Linked DNA regions of Saccharomyces cerevisiae S288C. The protein of the gene in region 3 purifies or fractionates together with the protein of the main gene of each other region. This does not show direct contact. Each region holds a gene or a part of one and is shown on either strand. Other genes may lie near its edges.

The links. The genes of interacting proteins can lie anywhere in the genome.
Region 1: the proteins of TRA1 (region 3) and SGF11 purify together in Saccharomyces cerevisiae (affinity purification with mass spectrometry; 5 studies listed by BioGRID). This does not show direct contact.
Region 2: the proteins of TRA1 (region 3) and EAF5 purify together in Saccharomyces cerevisiae (affinity purification with western blotting; 5 studies listed by BioGRID, with this or other methods). This does not show direct contact.

What each region holds. Positions count from the first base shown.
Region 1 is NC_001148.4:464,287-466,761, reverse strand, and holds SGF11 (SAGA histone acetyltransferase complex subunit SGF11), read right to left. Parts: upstream 801-2,475; coding exon 501-800; downstream 1-500. Other genes in the region: ELC1 (elongin C), read left to right, coding at 1-118; CAM1 (translation elongation factor EF1B gamma), read right to left, coding at 1,114-2,361. UniProt on the Saccharomyces cerevisiae protein: Component of the transcription coactivator SAGA complex. SAGA acts as a general cofactor required for essentially all RNA polymerase II transcription. At the promoters, SAGA is required for transcription pre-initiation complex (PIC) recruitment.
Region 2 is NC_001137.3:119,785-122,810, reverse strand, and holds EAF5 (Eaf5p), read right to left. Parts: upstream 1,341-3,026; coding exon 501-1,340; downstream 1-500. Other genes in the region: PMP2 (proteolipid ATPase), read left to right, coding at 1-13; SUMO ligase MMS21, read left to right, coding at 1,510-2,313; PXP1 (putative indolepyruvate decarboxylase family protein), read left to right, coding at 2,512-3,026. UniProt on the Saccharomyces cerevisiae protein: Component of the NuA4 histone acetyltransferase complex which is involved in transcriptional activation of selected genes principally by acetylation of nucleosomal histone H4 and H2A. The NuA4 complex is also involved in DNA repair.
Region 3 is NC_001140.6:299,890-306,614, forward strand, and holds the start of TRA1 (histone acetyltransferase TRA1), read left to right. Parts: upstream 1-2,871; coding exon 2,872-6,725. Other genes in the region: SFB3 (Sfb3p), read right to left, coding at 1-2,045. UniProt on the Saccharomyces cerevisiae protein: Essential scaffold subunit of the transcription coactivator SAGA complex. SAGA acts as a general cofactor required for essentially all RNA polymerase II transcription.

The DNA of each region.
Region 1 (2,475 bases), on a different chromosome or scaffold from region 3:
AAATTATAATTTGAAGTACAGCGGCGTTAGCGAGGACGATGATGAGATTCCAGAGTTTGAAATACCGACAGAAATGTCGTTAGAGCTGCTACTTGCGGCGGACTATTTGAGTATATAGGTACAGGAAAAACAAAAAAGAGTTAGGAACTCTTTCAAAAAATTATATTATATGGGTGTGATGTTGCAGCATATTACTCTGATATGTAGAAAATTGAATGCATTGTTATAGCGTACTTATGTGTAACCCTTCCACATAACGGAATGCAAGGTATCATTTGGCATCATATATGGGAGGTGCTATTATAAAAACATGTAGTTAATAGCTAAAACAGTTTTCGCCTTCTCTCTTTGAGATGTTACCACATAACTACATGAACTTCTATGTGCAGATATGCCGCATAAAATGTAAGAATCTTGCTTTTTTTATGAACCTATGCCCACAAGAAATGGGCTAAAATCTGTCTGTGCCTTTTCAATTACCCATAAACCACCACCTAGTGTCAACGTCTAGCACCCCTACTCAAACATCTCTGTAAATGAGCTGCTAGTCTGTTTGCGGACACATCCCTGCCACAATTCTCACAGTGAATATACTGAGAGGACTCTTGTTGCTTCTGTAGTCCATTAATATCGAGAGATCCGTTCGGGTCGAAATAATAACTGCGAAGATCCGGATATCTTGTCTTCAGCAATTGTTGTTGAGTGGTTTCCCGAGCTACAATGTCCTGGATCAATGTGGTTAACAGGTTATTCAGTATCCCATTTGAAATAGAATCTATAGTAATAGTTTCTTCGGTCATCGCAACAGGAAAACCCCGTAACCTAAAGAATTTGAAGGATTATTATACTGCTCTGCTCAACGGAAGAAACGCTAAGTTACTTCTTCGATTCCTCAGAATCAAGAAAATAAGCAAATCACTGCTATACATATAATACATGCATCTATTATATAACAATAATCCAAGATACGAAAAGGAAAACTTGATTTTTTTTCTGCGGAAGTTTCAGAGCAGAAAAACTCTGTTACCCTATATTGCGTCATAAATAAGATATAGATAAAACTACCTAGCATACTTTATAATAAAAGGCGACATGAAGGATAGTACGAAGAGATTATTTTAAGACCTTACCGTCAACAATTTCCTTTGGTTCGCCATTGACGGAAACTGGCTTATCCCAGGCCCACATGTTATTGATGAATTCTTTGTCGTCGTCGTTAGTTGGATCCAACTTTGCATAGTCGTAAGATTCCCAATCTGGTGCGACATCGAAAGCTGGAACGTAATCTTGGCCCCTAACCATAACTGCACCAACAATACCGTTGTTGTTGTTTTCACCGTAGACTACCAGACAACCGAACATGTACTTGGTAGAGGCGGACAATCTGTTGAAGAAACCACCGACCAAGTTGTTGGACATGAAAGTCAAAGTCAATTCATCGTTGTACTTGTAGGTGACTTTCCACAGGGAATACTCTTCTGGGTTGTAGTGCTCCCAAAACCAAGGTAAAGCAACTGGTCTGGTGTCTTCATTGGAGTACTTTCTCTTCCAGTCATCCAAAACGAAAGTTGACTTGCCCAATAATTCTAATGGGTGCTTTGGTTTCTTGGAAGAAGTTTCAGTTTCGGTAGCAGCTGGCTTGGCTTCCTCCTTCTTCTTCGAAGCGGCGGGAGCGGCGGCTGGGGCCTTCTTTTCCTTCTTCTTTTGAGGGGGACTCAATGGCTTGTCAGCGAACTTGAAATCCTTGTATTCATCCTTCAAGAAGGGTGAGGCTCTAACGGTGTTGAACCATCTCACGATGGCTGGATGTTGAGCTCTCCATTCAGTACCGAACAGGCTTTCAAAGTATCTGGTGAAAATCGAGGCAGCCACCAAGTCGGCCAAGGAGATGTTTTCCGTAGCCAAATAGGTGTAGTTTTTCAATCTGTTCTCGAAGATGTCGACGATCTTGTCAACAGCGTCCATCGCAGAATCAACGCTCTTCTTGTTGTAGGGGGCGCCGCCCTTCAAGGGAACGATGGTGTTGGCAATCTGGATGCACAGATCACTGTTGGCCAAAGATTGCCATCTGATGATTTGCGCTTGGGCATTTAAGTCATCGTCGGCACCTAAAAGTTGAGTCTTCATCTTGTCGTCCTGTGAAAGCTTTACTAAATAATAGTTAATCGCCATTGCCTCGGTTAGCTTGTAACCCTTTGGACCCACGAAAGCCGGAACCTTCTTCAAGGGAAAGTCCCTTGCGAACTGTTCAGCGGCGGCATCTGGCGTAACAACCTTAACGTCCAGCTTCAAAGCCTTGACAAGACCTCTTGGGACCCAAGTTCTAATTCTGAAGTTAGCATATAAAGTACCTTGAGACATGGCGTGCAAAAACTGTATCTGATCTTGAGTTTCTATGTTCTGTATGCTCTAATAACAGAAAATACAATAACAAGGAGGGAAGACCAATTTGCGGGCTGCCAAGCAACACAACCA
Region 2 (3,026 bases), on a different chromosome or scaffold from region 3:
ACAAAGATTCTAAGCGATCACTAGCAAGCCAAACGAGCTTGATGTTGTTTTCTCTTAGTTATCCTCTTTTTTTTTTTTTTTTCAATTACTGAATATTAATGAATAAATTAGACCTCTTTTCTCCCCAACCCTTTTAATTTCTAATAATTAATTAATTTTTCCTGTGTGTGTGCTATATTCCTACTTTGTATCTGTGCTGTTCGATTCCTCTGTTGGAACGATGTGATTTGCGTGGGCGTTTTATCGCAAAAAAGTTTTGGGCATGCGGGCGTGAATGGATGTTGTTTGCCGTGTGTGGGCAAATACACCCTGCTCTTCGTTTTGTTTGTCCCGTTCTTTCCCATTTTTACCTACCTACTATGTTTTTTTTTGAGAAACATGTCGCTTCATTTGTTATATATTGTTCTGTTAAAGAATTGTGTGTGTATTTTTTTAATAAAATAGTATATAATAGTAATGTTACAAGACTTTAGATTTTCGAAGTGTCGCCTACTATCTCCTTACTCTAGTGCTCTTCTCATGAACTGCACCGTATCATCCAATTCAAACTGCACTTGTCTAGCCAATTTCCAGTCGTCCGTACCAATGACCTTTCGCATTACACCGTCCGTTATGCTCTTTTGAAGAATCAGCTGCAGTTCATGAACGCTGCCGGGCGTTTCGTTCTTTATGTCTTCGTAATTTATCTCATTCTTGATAATGCTACCATCGGGACTCTTGAATAGCTTCTGAAAATTCCCAGTTTTACTTTCCAATTTATTCAGAACGGTATCTCTGTATAATTTCAATAGTTTTTCTCTTTTTGGGTCCATTGAATGCGCCATGTGTGGCGTAGTCGTAGTTATAGTAGCACTGGTACCAGCAGATCCACTTTTGCCAGCATTTGCATGTGGTTGCAGTTGCGATGCACCGGTCTTTATACCGTTCTTCAATATCTCATCCTCCATCATCCTTATTTGTTCGACCTGCGTTTTCTTGAATCGATCGTACTTTTCGTCAAGGAGCTTCTCGATATCATGCATTTCCAAACCGTGTAGACTAAGTTGTCCATCGTTTAGTGTTGTTCTGTACTCTGGGAATAAATTCTTAACTATGGTCAGGATATCGTTGATGCCCAGTTTCCTGTTTCCATTTGCCACGTTGCTTTGCCTTCTTAAATTTGTCAGCTCGTTGATTAGCAAATTGTTTTGTATTTCGTTAGTCAACTTGACTAGCGATATTCGAAGATTATTCCCAATCATGTTGATTCCTCCCCCGTTCCTAACCAGTTCTTCATTCTTGTTGGAAATTAAAGTGTGTATTAGCTGCAACACTACCAATTCACTTACCTCTTTATCCATCTATGCGTTCCTTTGATTCTGGTTACTCCGGCACGCAGAAGTATCTTTTTACCAGTGCTTCTCTGGTTATTTTCTTCCTCTTTTCCTGTGTAGAAAAAAACTTGCTAAAATAATCGTGTCAGTTAAAGAAACCAAGGCAAGACTATATAAAAAAAGAATAACTTTAAAAATGGCCTTGAACGATAATCCTATACCCAAGTCAGTTCCTCTACACCCAAAATCAGGTAAGTACTTCCATAATTTACATGCCCGAGACTTATCAAATATATATCAACAATGCTACAAACAAATTGATGAGACCATAAATCAATTAGTGGATTCTACATCTCCTTCCACCATCGGCATTGAAGAGCAGGTCGCAGATATTACTAGCACCTACAAACTCCTCTCGACATACGAATCGGAATCCAACTCATTTGACGAACATATTAAAGATTTAAAAAAAAATTTCAAACAATCCTCAGATGCCTGTCCGCAAATCGACCTTTCTACCTGGGATAAATATCGTACCGGAGAACTCACCGCTCCCAAATTATCTGAATTATATCTAAATATGCCCACACCAGAGCCTGCAACCATGGTTAATAACACAGATACACTCAAGATACTAAAAGTGTTGCCGTACATATGGAATGATCCAACTTGTGTAATACCGGATCTGCAAAACCCCGCAGACGAAGACGATCTACAAATAGAAGGTGGTAAAATTGAATTGACTTGTCCTATCACCTGCAAACCTTACGAAGCACCATTGATATCAAGAAAATGTAATCACGTCTTCGATAGAGACGGCATTCAAAACTATTTACAAGGATACACGACAAGAGATTGCCCGCAAGCAGCGTGTTCTCAAGTCGTTTCAATGAGGGATTTTGTAAGAGACCCTATTATGGAACTAAGGTGTAAGATCGCCAAGATGAAAGAATCTCAGGAACAGGATAAAAGAAGTAGTCAAGCCATCGATGTTTTATGAAAACAAAATTATTGTTTCTCTTATCCGAGCCCTTCGGCCCGAAGTTCAAGCAAAGCTAACTAAAGAAAAAAGTTGGAAATTTACAAAAGGTTGGTATATAACCACATTATATATAAAGGAAAAAAAAGGCATTGGTTACTTTTATGTGATAAGAAGAATATACTCTCTACATTCAAACCGTCACAACCATCCATCAATATGACCACGACCGCTACCCAACACTTCGCTCAACTTTTACAAAAATATGGCATCGACACAGTCTTTGGAATTGTGGGCATCCCTATTGTCCAACTAGCGGATACGATGGTTGCCAACGGTATCAAATTCATTCCATGCAGGAACGAACAGGCTGCCTCATATGCAGCCTCTGCTTATGGTTATATTAGTGATAAGCCCGGCGTGTTACTTATTGTCGGGGGCCCCGGTTTAATCCACGCACTGGCTGGTATATACAACTCAATGAGTAATAGGTGGCCTCTTCTAGTAATTGCAGGGAGTTCTTCTCAAAGTGATATACATAAAGGCGGGTTTCAAGAGTTGGATCAAGTTAGTCTTTTGTCCCCATTTTTGAAGTTTACCGGAAAGTTAACCCCTGACAATATTGACATGATTACTCAGAAGGCTTTGAATTACTGTATACAAGGCACTGCAGGGGTTTCTTACATAGACGTCCCTGCAGATTTTATTGAGTATGAAAAACCCTTAGAAGGAAA
Region 3 (6,725 bases):
TGCGTTGATGAGTTACTGCTAACCAATCCTCTATATTGGGTCAAGATTTCGACCATCTTGTCATCAATTAATCTTCTGATCTTTACAAAGTCACAATCACCGAGCGTCTTTATGACATCTTTGATCATTATTCTCATGACAGGATTTTGATTTATAAACTTGAAAATTTCACGAATGTTATTAGATACCGCACCTGACGTGTTAATAGAACGAACTTTTCTGACACCATCAATATCAGTATATAACAATGCAGTTTGGAAATGAACATCGGTTCCTGTTTTTATTTTACTGTCATATTTTAGTAAGACATCTAAGGTGGTATCTCTAGTCAATACAGGAATAATTGGATCATGATCCGTATTATCAGATGAATCGCAGTAGTACTGTTCCACAGATAGCCCAGTAGAACAGCGAACTTTCAATAAAGCTTGATAACCAACAATATTGGAGACATTTGTAACCATGTCGTTAACCAAAGTGAAGGCATCCGTCTCTTGTTGAAAGTGGGGATAATATTTCAAAATACCGGAAGTCATCTCTACAGGATGGCCCACAGTGGCCATATCAATGAATCCCGCATTGGTCACATATAAATCTAAAGAAATGTAGGATTTCAAAAAATCCGATGCTAATTTCTTATAGAACCCATTGTCGCATTTAACATGAGCAATGTGTGCATTGTCCCTTTTTAGCGATAAATTCCCGTTGCCGATCGTTGGCAAGCTGTTCAAAGAACAAATAATCTTACCACCTTGCCCGCCAGTTACTGTGTCTAACGCTAATTTTGCGGCTTGTAAAGCAGAACCATAACAGACTTGGGGTACGTGACTATACTTGTCGGTGGAGATGTAACCACTAATTTTTATCAATGTGTCATTAATGATTTTCATCGAGTTTCCGGGTTTAACAAATAATCCATTATAAAATGGTAAGAAAACATCGTCCAATTCACTTACAATGTACTCTTGTGCATTATCTAAATCTGGTCTCAAATTAAAGAACCGCAACTTATTATCATAAACGATTATAGCAACCTCACAATTTGGCTGGAAATCTGAAATATACTCAATACATGACCTGACACCTTCCACCATGGCTAAAGAACTTCCGTTCTCATTAGCTAACAATGAAACATCAATCAAAAACACGTAGTGTAGTGGTAAAAGCTCCTTCTCCTGAATAGCATTGTAAATACTTGGCACCAAGAAATCGACTGTTCCGTGCAATAACTCTGATTTTTCGTTCAAATCACTTCGTTGCCCATTGGGACCCATGGGCGCAAAATGCTCACCTGGAACTTGCATCTTAACTCTACAAATATTACAAATAACACTTGAATCATAAGTGAACTGAAATTTAGGATTAGCATACGCACGACAACGTCTACAACGCAAAGGCGTACCATCCATTGGTAATGGAATTGTGGGAACTTCTGCATCATTCGGTGTCAAAGTGGAAAATGGTTGGATGGTTAATCCAAGTGGTAGCTTCGTGGCGGCTCTCAAGTGTTCACTTTCGGGGATGTTGTACATGGATAAACTCATCAAGTGCGGATCACATGAACCTTGGTCAACACAATAAAACTGGGTGGTCGGCAAGGGCGGAACAGAATCTCTACAAGTTTCGAAAGATCGTTGTAAATATTGAGCTTGATCTTCAAATCTTTGAGTTGGAACAATGTGAGATGTAGGTTGAGGCGCTGTCATATCAAGCATAGATTGACCATATGGCGAGGAGGCCTCACTCGCACCGAATCGCTCTTGACTCACCATTACAGGCGTGGACATAACGGAACCCGAACCGTTGTTGAAGCCACCAAATTGCTTAGGGGTAAAGGCTTGAGGTTGTTGAAAACCATCCTGCTGATTCAATTGGGGTGTAGTGTAGGGTGAATTGCCCAAAGTAGGAACAGTGCCCGAGGAAAAGTTATGATATGCTCTGTGAGGTCTTCTACTTTTTTTGGAAGATGCTCCGCCCGTATGCACAGTAGATTCATCAAGAGAGAGCGCTGAAACACTAGCTGCCAAAATATTCTGCTGAGACATGATGGTCCAATATTCTTCTGCAAATGGCCTCCTTAGTAACCCTCAAAATTACTAATTTCTTCAGTTGCAAGCTCCGATTTGGTTGAATCAGACCTAAGTTGTTACAGCGTACGTGTTTTTTTTATTTATTTATTTTCTAACATTTTTCTCTTTGGTTTTTCCAGTTTGATCGTTCCCACGTTGAGACGAAACGAAGGAAAAAAAAGAACATTTTTTTCGCATTGTGCACGGAAGGCTTCACCTTCAATAGGGCAAACAGAAGGACGAGCTGCATCACTTTTAGCCGCCACTAATCAACTCCTTCAGATAGATCGCCAGAACGCAAATAAGTGAAATTTGAAGATCAACTTGAATCAAAAAGCCAAAACTAAGAATTGTACGCTACTCTGCCAGACAATATTTTACGGACACGCGCATTTCAAGACAAAGCCATAATTCATGCCTTTTCAACTAGCATCTGGACGCCGCTGAGATCATAGGAACAAACAAAACGCACGAAAATAGCTAACGCACGTATCGAATACCAAATCAGTCTGCATTTATTGTACCCTCAAATTACAAATTCAACCAACAATTGTTCAAAAGACCACCTTGAATCTTGTGTTTCCTAATTTGGTAAGTGATCACGTGGTCAGACAGTTTTCCAGGTCAAACTGAAAAAAAAGCTCAAGAACCATTTTTCTTTAATAGCCTTTTTTAGTTGTATTCTAATAAACAACACCAACAAAATCGGAGGTATCACACGTAATTACATAAAGAAGATTAAATTCAGAGAAGATCTATCACACGATATCTCCATAGTTACAAAGAATACCGCATTTTGCCGATGTCACTCACTGAGCAGATCGAGCAATTCGCCAGTAGGTTTCGCGATGATGATGCCACTCTACAATCGAGATATTCCACTCTATCGGAATTGTACGACATAATGGAATTACTGAATTCTCCTGAGGATTACCATTTTTTCTTACAAGCTGTGATACCTTTACTTCTAAACCAGCTAAAGGAAGTTCCTATTTCATATGATGCGCATTCACCGGAACAAAAGTTGAGAAACTCTATGCTTGATATTTTCAACAGGTGTCTCATGAACCAAACCTTTCAACCCTACGCAATGGAAGTGCTCGAGTTTTTACTTTCAGTACTACCAAAGGAAAACGAAGAAAATGGGATATTATGTATGAAAGTGCTGACGACACTTTTCAAATCATTCAAATCAATACTACAGGACAAACTCGACTCCTTCATACGAATAATTATTCAGATTTATAAAAATACACCAAACCTTATAAACCAGACGTTTTATGAAGCCGGGAAAGCAGAACAGGGTGATTTGGATTCACCAAAAGAACCACAGGCAGATGAACTTCTCGATGAATTCTCCAAAAATGATGAAGAAAAGGACTTTCCATCGAAACAATCATCCACGGAGCCAAGGTTTGAAAACTCTACCTCATCAAACGGGTTGAGGTCATCTATGTTTTCCTTTAAAATCCTTTCTGAATGCCCTATTACAATGGTCACTTTATATTCGTCTTACAAGCAGTTGACTAGCACCTCGCTTCCGGAATTCACTCCTCTTATTATGAATCTATTGAATATACAAATTAAACAACAACAGGAAGCGAGAGAACAGGCGGAATCACGGGGAGAACATTTCACTTCTATATCGACGGAGATTATCAACAGACCGGCTTACTGTGATTTTATATTAGCCCAGATCAAGGCCACGTCTTTCTTGGCTTACGTATTCATTAGAGGATACGCTCCTGAATTTTTGCAGGATTATGTGAATTTTGTTCCTGATTTAATCATAAGGCTTTTACAAGACTGCCCTTCTGAACTATCATCTGCTAGGAAGGAACTTTTGCATGCCACTAGACACATTCTATCTACAAACTACAAAAAGCTCTTTTTACCCAAATTGGACTATCTGTTTGACGAACGTATACTTATTGGTAACGGTTTTACTATGCATGAAACATTAAGGCCCCTGGCTTATAGTACTGTGGCAGATTTCATTCATAATATAAGATCTGAATTACAACTAAGTGAAATTGAAAAAACAATAAAGATTTACACTGGATATCTATTGGATGAGTCATTAGCCTTAACTGTACAAATCATGAGTGCAAAATTGCTGCTTAATTTAGTTGAAAGAATATTAAAATTGGGAAAGGAGAACCCACAAGAGGCCCCTAGAGCAAAGAAATTGTTAATGATAATCATTGACTCATATATGAATAGATTTAAAACCTTAAACAGACAGTACGATACAATAATGAAGTACTATGGAAGATACGAAACGCATAAGAAGGAGAAAGCAGAAAAGCTCAAAAACTCTATACAGGATAATGACAAAGAGAGTGAGGAATTTATGAGGAAGGTACTGGAACCATCCGATGACGACCATTTGATGCCACAGCCTAAAAAAGAAGATATCAATGATAGTCCCGATGTTGAAATGACAGAATCTGACAAAGTGGTGAAGAATGACGTTGAAATGTTTGACATAAAAAACTACGCACCTATATTATTACTACCCACACCAACAAATGATCCCATCAAGGATGCTTTTTACTTATACAGAACTTTAATGTCTTTCTTAAAAACAATAATTCATGACTTAAAAGTCTTTAACCCACCTCCTAACGAATATACGGTTGCTAATCCTAAATTGTGGGCTTCTGTTTCTAGAGTTTTTTCATATGAGGAAGTCATTGTTTTCAAGGATTTATTTCACGAATGTATTATTGGTTTGAAATTTTTTAAAGATCATAATGAAAAATTATCTCCAGAAACAACAAAAAAACATTTTGATATATCAATGCCCAGCCTACCGGTCTCAGCCACCAAAGATGCTCGTGAGTTAATGGACTATTTGGCATTTATGTTTATGCAGATGGATAATGCCACTTTTAATGAAATAATTGAACAGGAACTGCCATTTGTCTATGAAAGAATGCTGGAGGATTCTGGGCTGCTACATGTCGCGCAATCCTTTTTAACAAGTGAAATAACCTCCCCAAATTTTGCTGGCATCCTTTTAAGATTCTTGAAAGGGAAATTGAAAGATTTAGGAAACGTTGATTTTAACACTTCTAATGTCCTAATACGACTTTTCAAATTGTCCTTTATGTCCGTCAATCTTTTCCCCAATATCAATGAGGTTGTTCTTCTTCCACACTTAAACGATCTAATTCTAAACTCCCTGAAATACTCAACTACAGCAGAAGAGCCTCTAGTATACTTTTATCTTATTAGAACTCTTTTTAGAAGTATAGGTGGGGGCAGATTTGAAAACTTATATAGATCGATTAAGCCCATACTACAGGTGCTATTACAATCTTTAAACCAAATGATACTTACTGCACGATTGCCCCACGAGAGAGAACTTTATGTGGAATTATGCATCACTGTACCAGTTCGGTTAAGTGTGCTTGCTCCTTATTTGCCATTTTTGATGAAACCATTGGTATTTGCATTACAGCAATATCCTGATCTCGTTTCGCAGGGTTTAAGGACCTTAGAATTATGTATTGATAATTTGACCGCCGAGTATTTTGATCCTATAATCGAACCGGTAATCGATGACGTTTCGAAGGCCTTGTTTAACCTTCTGCAACCTCAACCATTTAATCATGCTATCAGCCACAACGTAGTCAGAATACTGGGCAAATTAGGAGGTAGAAATCGTCAATTTTTAAAGCCACCAACGGACCTCACGGAAAAAACGGAACTAGACATTGATGCGATAGCAGATTTCAAAATCAATGGTATGCCGGAAGATGTACCGCTTTCTGTAACGCCAGGAATCCAGTCCGCTTTGAATATATTGCAAAGCTACAAAAGTGATATTCACTACAGGAAGAGTGCTTACAAGTATCTAACCTGTGTACTACTGTTAATGACAAAATCATCAGCAGAGTTTCCTACGAATTACACGGAACTGTTGAAGACAGCAGTGAATTCTATAAAGCTAGAGAGGATTGGAATAGAAAAAAACTTTGATTTGGAACCAACTGTAAATAAGAGAGATTATTCGAACCAAGAAAATTTGTTTTTGAGGTTACTGGAGAGCGTTTTTTACGCAACTTCGATAAAGGAACTAAAAGATGACGCAATGGACCTACTGAATAACCTTTTGGATCATTTCTGCCTATTACAAGTAAACACTACGTTGCTTAATAAGAGAAACTATAATGGGACATTTAACATCGATCTAAAGAACCCAAACTTCATGCTAGATAGCTCATTGATTCTAGATGCTATTCCCTTTGCCCTTTCGTACTACATTCCAGAAGTTCGTGAGGTGGGTGTTTTGGCGTACAAAAGAATATACGAAAAAAGTTGTCTGATATATGGGGAGGAACTAGCTTTAAGTCACTCCTTCATACCGGAATTAGCTAAACAGTTTATCCATTTGTGTTACGACGAAACATATTACAACAAAAGAGGCGGTGTCTTGGGTATAAAAGTTCTCATTGATAATGTTAAGTCGTCCTCAGTTTTCCTAAAAAAGTATCAGTATAACCTAGCCAATGGTCTATTATTTGTGCTGAAGGACACTCAGAGCGAGGCCCCATCTGCTATAACAGATAGCGCTGAGAAATTACTAATAGATCTATTAAGTATTACGTTCGCGGATGTAAAAGAAGAGGATTTGGGTAACAAAGTCTT